Linked DNA regions of Sus scrofa. The main gene of each other region encodes a partner of the protein of the gene in region 2 in a complex. Links are inferred from orthologs where the notes say so. Each region holds a gene or a part of one and is shown on either strand. Other genes may lie near its edges.

Region 1 (3,745 bases), on a different chromosome or scaffold from region 2:
TTATTGCAAACGGCCCCGAGAGCCCATTATAAGCTGCTGCGCTAGGCTGTGTGTCCCTGGAGTGCCCCGTCACGTGGCGTCTCCCCAGCCTCCAGCCTGGGCCCCCAGGAGCGCCAGCGCCACCAGCTTGAGTAGTACAGCAAGGCCGAGGGGAAGAGGAGGTACCCGAGGCCCTGTCTCCGGGCAGTTTCCGTGATAACTCGGGGCGCGGCCGCCCGCCGGAGGCACCAGAGCCCAGCGCGTCGCCGACTCCCTACACACGCGGTGGCAGCGGGTACGCGTGTCCTCAGGAGACTTCAGCACTTGCAAAACACCGCGCTCTACCCCGAGTACAGGCGGAACCAGGCAACTCTCTGCCCTGCTGGAGCCCCGCAATCTCACGTGCGCCCAGGAAACAGTGACCTTGAACCCAAGGAGGGGCGGTCGGGCTGCGAAAATACACTTTTGAGAGGACTGAGGGTTCACTCCGCGCCTCGCCCTCCCTTTTCCCCAGCACCGCTCGCCCCCACTTCACCTCAGCATCCCGGACGCAACCCCCTTTCCCCACCGCTCTGAGAACCGCTGCCGCTGCTAAGTGGGGGCGGAGAAAAGGTTACTCCTATTCAATTTCCGAAAGGGTCCTTTTCCCGGTGCCGCGTGTTTTAGATTAGGAACCAGCACCCCAAAACACACGAGATGAGTTTTAAGTGTCGTAAATGTTCAAGTCTGGCAGTTTGAGGTACTCTGAAATTATCTACTCGTGTTCCCCTTCCCCAAAGTGGATCAGGAACCAGCCCTAGAAAGGTAAATCAAGGAACTGAGGTCATCCCCCTTCGTTCAGGTGCTCGGCGACCCTGAGAATCGTGGGCTGTGGCGACATGGTCGCTGGGCCAGAGGACCCCGAGAGGCTGCGTGGAACTGCACGCCGTGCCACCAGGACTGGTCACGCCATATAAGGAGTCCTATTGACTGTGAGCTTGGAGTGGGCTCTGTAAATTGCCTTAAGTTGGACCAACTAAATCCTACTTTTCAACCATATCTGGCCCTTCGACCTCAGTTCCCCGCGAAAATATTCGCTATTTTTCGATTCCTCGTCTTCACGAGTTATCTCCCCGCTTTCAAAAGCGCGAGTTCGCCAGTCAGAGTAGGGATGCAGCCCTCAGGGGAACCCCTTGCCCTCCAGGCAAAGGCTGGCGCTGAGGCCACACCCGGGCTGTTAGCTGCCGGGGACTAGAACGCCGTCGCCAGTTCTGAGCTGTGTCCTCCTCCCGGACGCGCCAGGGTCGCTGCAGGCCGCGCGAGGGCTGCGGGGCGAAGGGGGCTCATGCACCGGGGCCGACAGAGGGCCAAGGAGCGGGCGTTGGGGAAGCTTTGCGTGTAACTGCAGCCGTCGCGAATGAAGCCTCCGCACCGCCTCCTTGATGAGATTCCCCGAGAGTACGAGCTGCTGCAGAAGCCGGTGCGGGTCATCATCGCCGGTGCGAGCTTGAGGCTGGGGCCCACGTCGCTGCTGCAGGCGGCGGGAGGCGGCGGCACCCCGCAGCCATCCTCGCCGGCGTGGGCCCGACAGCGGCTGCGGGGCACCCCGCTTGACCGCTCCTGAGGGTCCATCAAGGCTAAGCTGAGTGGGCAATGGGGACAGAGCGCTGGGGCCTGTGGCAAGCTCGGCCACAAAGTAGGGAGCAGTCCGGCCCCGCACGCGGCCGCGATCCCCGAGGGGGCAGCGCAGGGCCCCCGGGGGCGCCGGGCCCCCAGCCTCCGCCGACCCGGGCGGCAGAAGCGGCGGCAGAGCTGTGGCCAGGGCCTTCTCCGCTCTCACGGCTGCCAGGGGCCGCGGGGGCTGCAGCGGCGGTCCCGGGGGAGCGCCCGGGGAGGCAGGGCGGTCCTGTGCGGCGTCCAGCTGCAGCGTCTCGCCGATCTGGGCCACCAGCCGGTCCACCTCGCCCGAGCCGCCCAGCGTCACCGACTGTTCCAGTAGGAGGACGCTGTCCTCCTCCTCCTCCTCCTCCTCCTCTTCCTCGCCGGCTTCCTCTTCCTCCTCTCTCCGGCACGGCATGGTCCCCCGCGCGGGCACCCGGAGCTCTGCCGGCGTCGCTGGGGATTCGACTGCCAGTAGGGTTCGGTGGGCCGCGGCAGCGAGGGGAGCAGTGCTGCGATCGGAGCCGGGGCTGGGGAAGACGCTGAAGCTGGAGCCCGCTGGGTACTCTCGCCGCGCGCCTGCAGCCGCGGGAGCCGGAATCCTACCGGCTCCGGTTGATTTGTAAACAATGGGTGACGTAGCCGCCGGGCTCTACCACCGAGCAGCTGCGGGGGTGCGCCGTGCCAGTTGGGGGCGGAGCGCCCACTGGGCAGGGGCACAGGGGAAGCCTTGGTACCCCTGAGCTCCACAGCCCTGAATTCTGCCTGCGGCGGGCACTGGGGAGCAGGTCTTCGCTCTCTTAACCGGACGTGATTGGCATTGCCAGAAGATGGACACCAGCGTGGACTCCGTTGGTTTCTTCCACACACACTAGCACTAGCACATACACTTACACCCACACACCTACACACTTCTCTAGGCTCGTCGACTCTTCCAGTTTTGGCATTTGCGCCTTTGAGGTCCGAGATGCCAGCGTTTGGGAAGTGATGGCGAGGCAAGTGAGGCGAGTGGTGGCCAGGAGAGGCGTCAGGTTAGAGATCTGTCTGGAGATGAGGGAAAAGAGGCTGACGGAGAGGTCGAAGGACCCTGTGATACGATGGCGGTGGCGGATTGGGAATTGGCAGAGAAAGCCCCGTGATTCATGCTTTTTCCATCGGGAGCATGGGTATGTGGGGACCTGAACTGGAGCTGTCATTACTGAAGAGGAGGTTGCTCGTCTTGGGAGAAGCTGTGGGCTAGAAAGTTCTTTTAAGAAGAATGCCTCAGCCCAGTAGGGGAGTCTCCTTTCTGAGGGGGAGTAGGAGAGGAAACGGTCAGTTCTTTGGATGGAAATAGAGGTTACGGCCACCGTAACCCTTCAAGGTACCGTGGTTGGCTTAATGAGTAACCAAGATTTCATTTTTTAAAAGAAAGAGGGGTGGAAAATGATCCTTTACCGTCGTATTGCCTGGAGGTTTATGCAAAATCCCAAGTCCCTCAAGCCTAACTTGCACATTACACTTACATGTAGACCATTGGTGGACCAGCCTTTTACAGGAGAGGGATAGTGTCAAGGTGATGGAAATATTCTAAAACTGTGATGGTTGCACAACTTGGTAAATTTATTAAAAATTAAAATGAGGGAATTTTATGATGTAAGTTATATGTTAATAAAGCTGTTTTAACAGTTAGCCACAGGAATTCCCTTGTAGTGCAGTGGGGTAAGGATCCAGCCTCGTCACTGAAGCCACTTGGGTCACTGCTGTGGAACCAGTTAGATCCCTGGCTCCTGGGAACTTAGCCAGGGAATTTACGCATGCCTATTGCCAATTGTGGCCAAAAAAACAACAGAGCAAAACTATTAGCCAGAAAACACTGCACACACAAACACAGAAACCAGGCAGTAGAGAGCTACTTTAAAATATGGAGCAGGAAGAGTTCTCCTTGTGGTTCAGCAGGTTAAGAACCTGACTAATATCCTTGAGGATGTGGGTTTGATCCCTGCCTCACTCAGTGGGTTAAGAATCCTGTCTTGCTGCAGGCTGCTTTGTAGGCAGTAGGTGCCACTGGGATCCAAGTTGCTGTGACTGTGGTGTAGGCCAGCAGCTGCAGCTCCTATTCAACCCCTAGGCCCCCTAGCTTGAGAAC
Region 2 (3,745 bases):
AAATCTCAGTTCAATTCTCTCCTTCTTCTAGGCAACCAAATAGTTTTTCGTTGTCCTCATCATGCCCCTTTCTTGAGAAATAAGGAAACAGAATAGATATTTTTGTCAAATTCTGAAAGTACGTTTAAATAAACTCTTTAAATTCCACATAAACAGAGATACACAGGAACATCTGACACTTAGTGTACCACTCAACTAGACTTTTCTGCACAAATCTAGCAAGAGGGTCCAGTCTAGTAATAACCCTGAACAGAGCCCAAATTATACCCTATTATATCCAGGACCACAGCATTCTGCAAAACCTATGATGAAAAGGTCTAAATCCATATTCCTCTAACTGGATAGTCTTACCTAAAGAAAACCAATGCAAGAGTATTTTAAACAGTCTTAAGAAGGGACCCCTGAACTTTACATCATTTAGCATGTATGGAATGCAATGGCATCCCCAAAACTGATATATGGAGGGTCAGTGACAGTTAACATTCAACTCAGTATCTGACAACATGACAATACAAATCTCGATCAAAACCAGGACCTACTTCCAAGTTACCTTTTGATTAAATATTAACTCTATAGTGGTAGACTTAAAACAATGCATGTTGAGATACTACTGCTACTGAGTATCAACCTCACGGGTCCCTTCTAAGAGGAGGAATCAATGCTTGCCTGGAAATGTGAAAGTGGTCACTGAGCAAGTTCATCTCTGGATTAAGAACAAATGCGTTGTACAGTCACAAAGGCAAGAAAGAACTGTTAAGAGACTGTGACATTTAGCTCCTCTATTAAGTGTACAAAACTATGATAACCCCTGAGATCTGAGCTAACTATCCCTTGTTCCTAAAGACACACTGCAAAAGCACATAATGGTTTATGAATCTTGTCCTTCGCTTTATTCATGAGAATGAGCCAAGTAAACACTTCCATCACTATTTTAAGATGGAAATAAGTCAACCGCTTGATAAAGCTGGCAAGAAAACTATAAGAAATATTTCAAGTCAAATCATCCAAATAAAAATCATATTCCCTCTATTCAAGGTTAATGAGACCGGGGGAGGGAGTATGGGAGGAGAAAAGAGGGAGCTGCCTCATCCTTGACAGAAGACAGGTTTCTGCCCTTTTCCATTATCTCTGATTGTTATATCAGACATCATATTTTAAGATCCTGGTATTTCAAAGTCTCTTATTTAAAGGGTGAGGTGGAGAAAGAGTGTAAAATAAAATCAATACTCACTGCTAACTTTCATGCTGCCAAAAGCTGAAGGCTGCTGCACTGGCTTGCAGCTCTCCGCAAAGGAGGTGGTTCTGGGCCGCCCTGACATGATCACTGTCTTCCCGAATCACCTTCTTTTCCTTCCTTCCTCCTCTTCTTCCTTTTGTTTTATGTTGGGGTGTTAGGTTAATGATAAACGCAGCATTAAGTTCTCCCACAGGAAAAAAAAAAAGACTTCGTCCTCTTGGCTCTTCACTCCTTTTGTATAGCGACAAAAAAATGCGAGCGATGTATTTCTCCTTGAAGACAGATCAGTACGGATATTTAACATATAGATGATCTGGGACTGGGGAAAAAAAAAATACAATTCTCTCCCCTCCCTTTCCTTGGAGGGTAGAAATGGGTGGGAGGTCCTAAAAAATATGTATCACGTGAAACGGGGGCAAATACTTGATTGAAAATAAGTACTTTGAATATTATATTTTCCTCAGGGATTTTTTTTCCGAGTCAATGAAGAAGGGAAGCGGCGGAAGGATCACGAGTCTCACGCTTGAAAAGAAGGGGGGATGGGAAGGAGGGAGGGAGCGGGAGGGGGTGGCTCGGAGATGCGACGGGAAACGCTGCGGCTCCGGCAGCGGCGGGATCCGGCGGGCTGACGGCTGGGGCCCGGCGAACTGGAAGGCGGCGGAGTCGCGAGTCAGTCAGAGGCGGGCGGTGGCGGCGGCTCCTCTCCTCATTGCGCCAGGAGCAGCTGCAGGCGGCGGCTGGATCCAGCGGCCATGGCGGCGGCGGTGGCGGAGGCAGCTCCCTTCAGACCCCAGGCAGCGGCTCCTCGACTGCTCCCCATACGCCGGGGACATGGGAACCCGGCAACCGCTTCCGTCCCTCGGGGCCCCCTCCCCCGTCCACGGCACCGGCGCGACCGCCCTCCCTCCCGCCCCTCGCCTCTGCTCGGTCTCGCTCAGGAAGTGTCCGCGCTTTGCCCCCAGCCCGAAGCCCTGTCAGTGGCTGCGGGGCCGGCTCCTCCTCGCTTCCTTCCTTCCTTTGTCACTCGGGCCCGGGCGGCGGCGGCGGCGGCGGCGGCGGCGGCGGCAGCGGCGGCGGCAGCAGCAGCGAAAGCCCGCATTCGCCCGGGTCGGGGGCTGTTCTGTGTGAGGAGTGCCGTCTGCGCAGCCGCCTAGCTCTTCCCCAACCCCTCCCCCCTCCTACTCGTCCTCCGCCTCCTTCCTCCCCCACCCAGCCTTACACCGCCCAGCGCCCCTCCGCCCGCGTAACAGGCGTCTGAGAATTGCCGGCCGAGCCCGGCGCCCGCCCCCTTCGGCAGGGGAGCCGAAGCCCGAGCGGAGCCAATCACGGACGTCGTTTGTTTGCGGCTCCTCCCGGAAAAAGCCGATCGGCCAGAGGAGCCAATTAGAAAGTACCACTGGAAATCACGCCCAAGGGCGGAAAGTGCCGAAGATAGCCGACCGAGAAGAAGATGGGTTGGAGTGATACTGTGGCTGGCTGGAGGAGAAATTCGACAATGGCAGCAGCGGCCAATCAGAGTCGCCGGCTCTCACGAAAAAGCTTGAAGAGTTAAGAACTGTGAAGCCGGGAGTTGCTGGTGAAACCGCAAGGCTGGGAGCTGCAACCGCTTTGTAATTGGCCAAAACTCCGCTGGGAGTGTACCTCCCTTGGTGATTGGTGAAGAGAATGGGGCTTCCGAGGACAGTCTGACCAGTCAGGACGTCTCCTCCCTGGCCAAGGTGGGGAGAAGTAGAAAGCGAAGGGAGGGCTCTATAAAGCGCCTTCTCATTGGTCTCAAGCTTTGGAGCTGGAGTGGGGGCAAAAGGGAAAAGGAGGGAGACCGAAAGCGGTAGCAGTAGCCAATCGGCACTCACTGCCCTCCAATCGCGAGACCTAGCTGCAGTGTGATTGGCCTTCGGCCTCGGCGGCGGTCCCGGCAGCCGGGAGAAGCGCGTCTGGGGTTGTGGTGGATGGTCAGACAGGCTTGCCTGTGGCTACTCGCAGCCTGTGTGAAAACCGCAGATAGCGCGAGCCCTTCGCCCGCCAGTGGGAAACTGCTGCAGTCAGCCGGTCGGGGCTCGGAGCGCTCAAGCGAACTGAGGGTTTAAGGGCTCTCTCCCCCTCCCGACTACAGGCTCCCGGCGGGGCGGGGCTCATGTGCGCACAAGGTTTCCCTCCGCTGGGGAGAGCGCGTCTCCAGTGCCAGCTACTTCCCCGAAAGGCCCGGACGGATTCAGTGTGCTTCCAGGCAGGGGTGCGAGTTCTCAAACGCTAAATTGAGAACAAAGCTTCCACCTCTGCGCGGCCGCGCCCCGCCCAAACGCGAAGGCCAGTGATAGGAGTGAGGCCGACAGCCCCGCGCGCGGGCGCGCCCAGGCCCGACCTTCCAGAAACGCCCCTGAGAAATGAGCTCATGGTGGCTGCGCGCGCTCCTCGGGCGCGACTGCCCTCAGCGAAATGGGCCCGAGAGCAGGTGAGGGGAAGTGCAGTCAGGCCGGATATCCTGAAGTCCCTGAGGAAACGGGGAGT

Evidence for each region. The genes of interacting proteins can lie anywhere in the genome.
Region 1: the proteins of GSK3B (region 2) and FRAT1 are in contact, whole or in part, in a crystal structure (PDB 5OY4), measured with the Homo sapiens proteins. The link is inferred for Sus scrofa from reciprocal best matches to the Homo sapiens genes GSK3B and FRAT1. Residues at the interface, in NP_001139628.1 of Homo sapiens: Tyr216, Ile228, Phe229, Ser261, Gly262, Val263, Asp264, Leu266, Val267, Ile270, Lys271, Thr275, Pro276, Ile281, Tyr288, Thr289, Glu290, Phe291, Lys292, Phe293, Pro294, Ile296; in NP_005470.2 of Homo sapiens: His200, Leu202, Leu203, Leu206, Val207, Ser209, Gly210, Asn211, Leu212, Ile213, Lys214, Glu215, Ala216, Val217, Arg219, Leu220, His221.

The regions. Positions count from the first base shown.
Region 1 is NC_010456.5:108,737,831-108,741,575, reverse strand, and holds the start of FRAT1 (proto-oncogene FRAT1), read right to left. Parts: upstream 2,338-3,745; 5' UTR 2,036-2,337; coding exon 1,196-2,035; 3' UTR 1-1,195. UniProt on the Homo sapiens protein: Positively regulates the Wnt signaling pathway by stabilizing beta-catenin through the association with GSK-3. May play a role in tumor progression and collaborate with PIM1 and MYC in lymphomagenesis.
Region 2 is NC_010455.5:140,134,776-140,138,520, reverse strand, and holds the start of GSK3B (glycogen synthase kinase-3 beta), read right to left. Parts: upstream 2,413-3,745; 5' UTR 1,320-2,412; coding exon 1,232-1,319; intron 1-1,231. UniProt on the Homo sapiens protein: Constitutively active protein kinase that acts as a negative regulator in the hormonal control of glucose homeostasis, Wnt signaling and regulation of transcription factors and microtubules, by phosphorylating and inactivating glycogen synthase (GYS1 or GYS2), EIF2B, CTNNB1/beta-catenin, APC, AXIN1, DPYSL2/CRMP2, JUN, NFATC1/NFATC, MAPT/TAU and MACF1.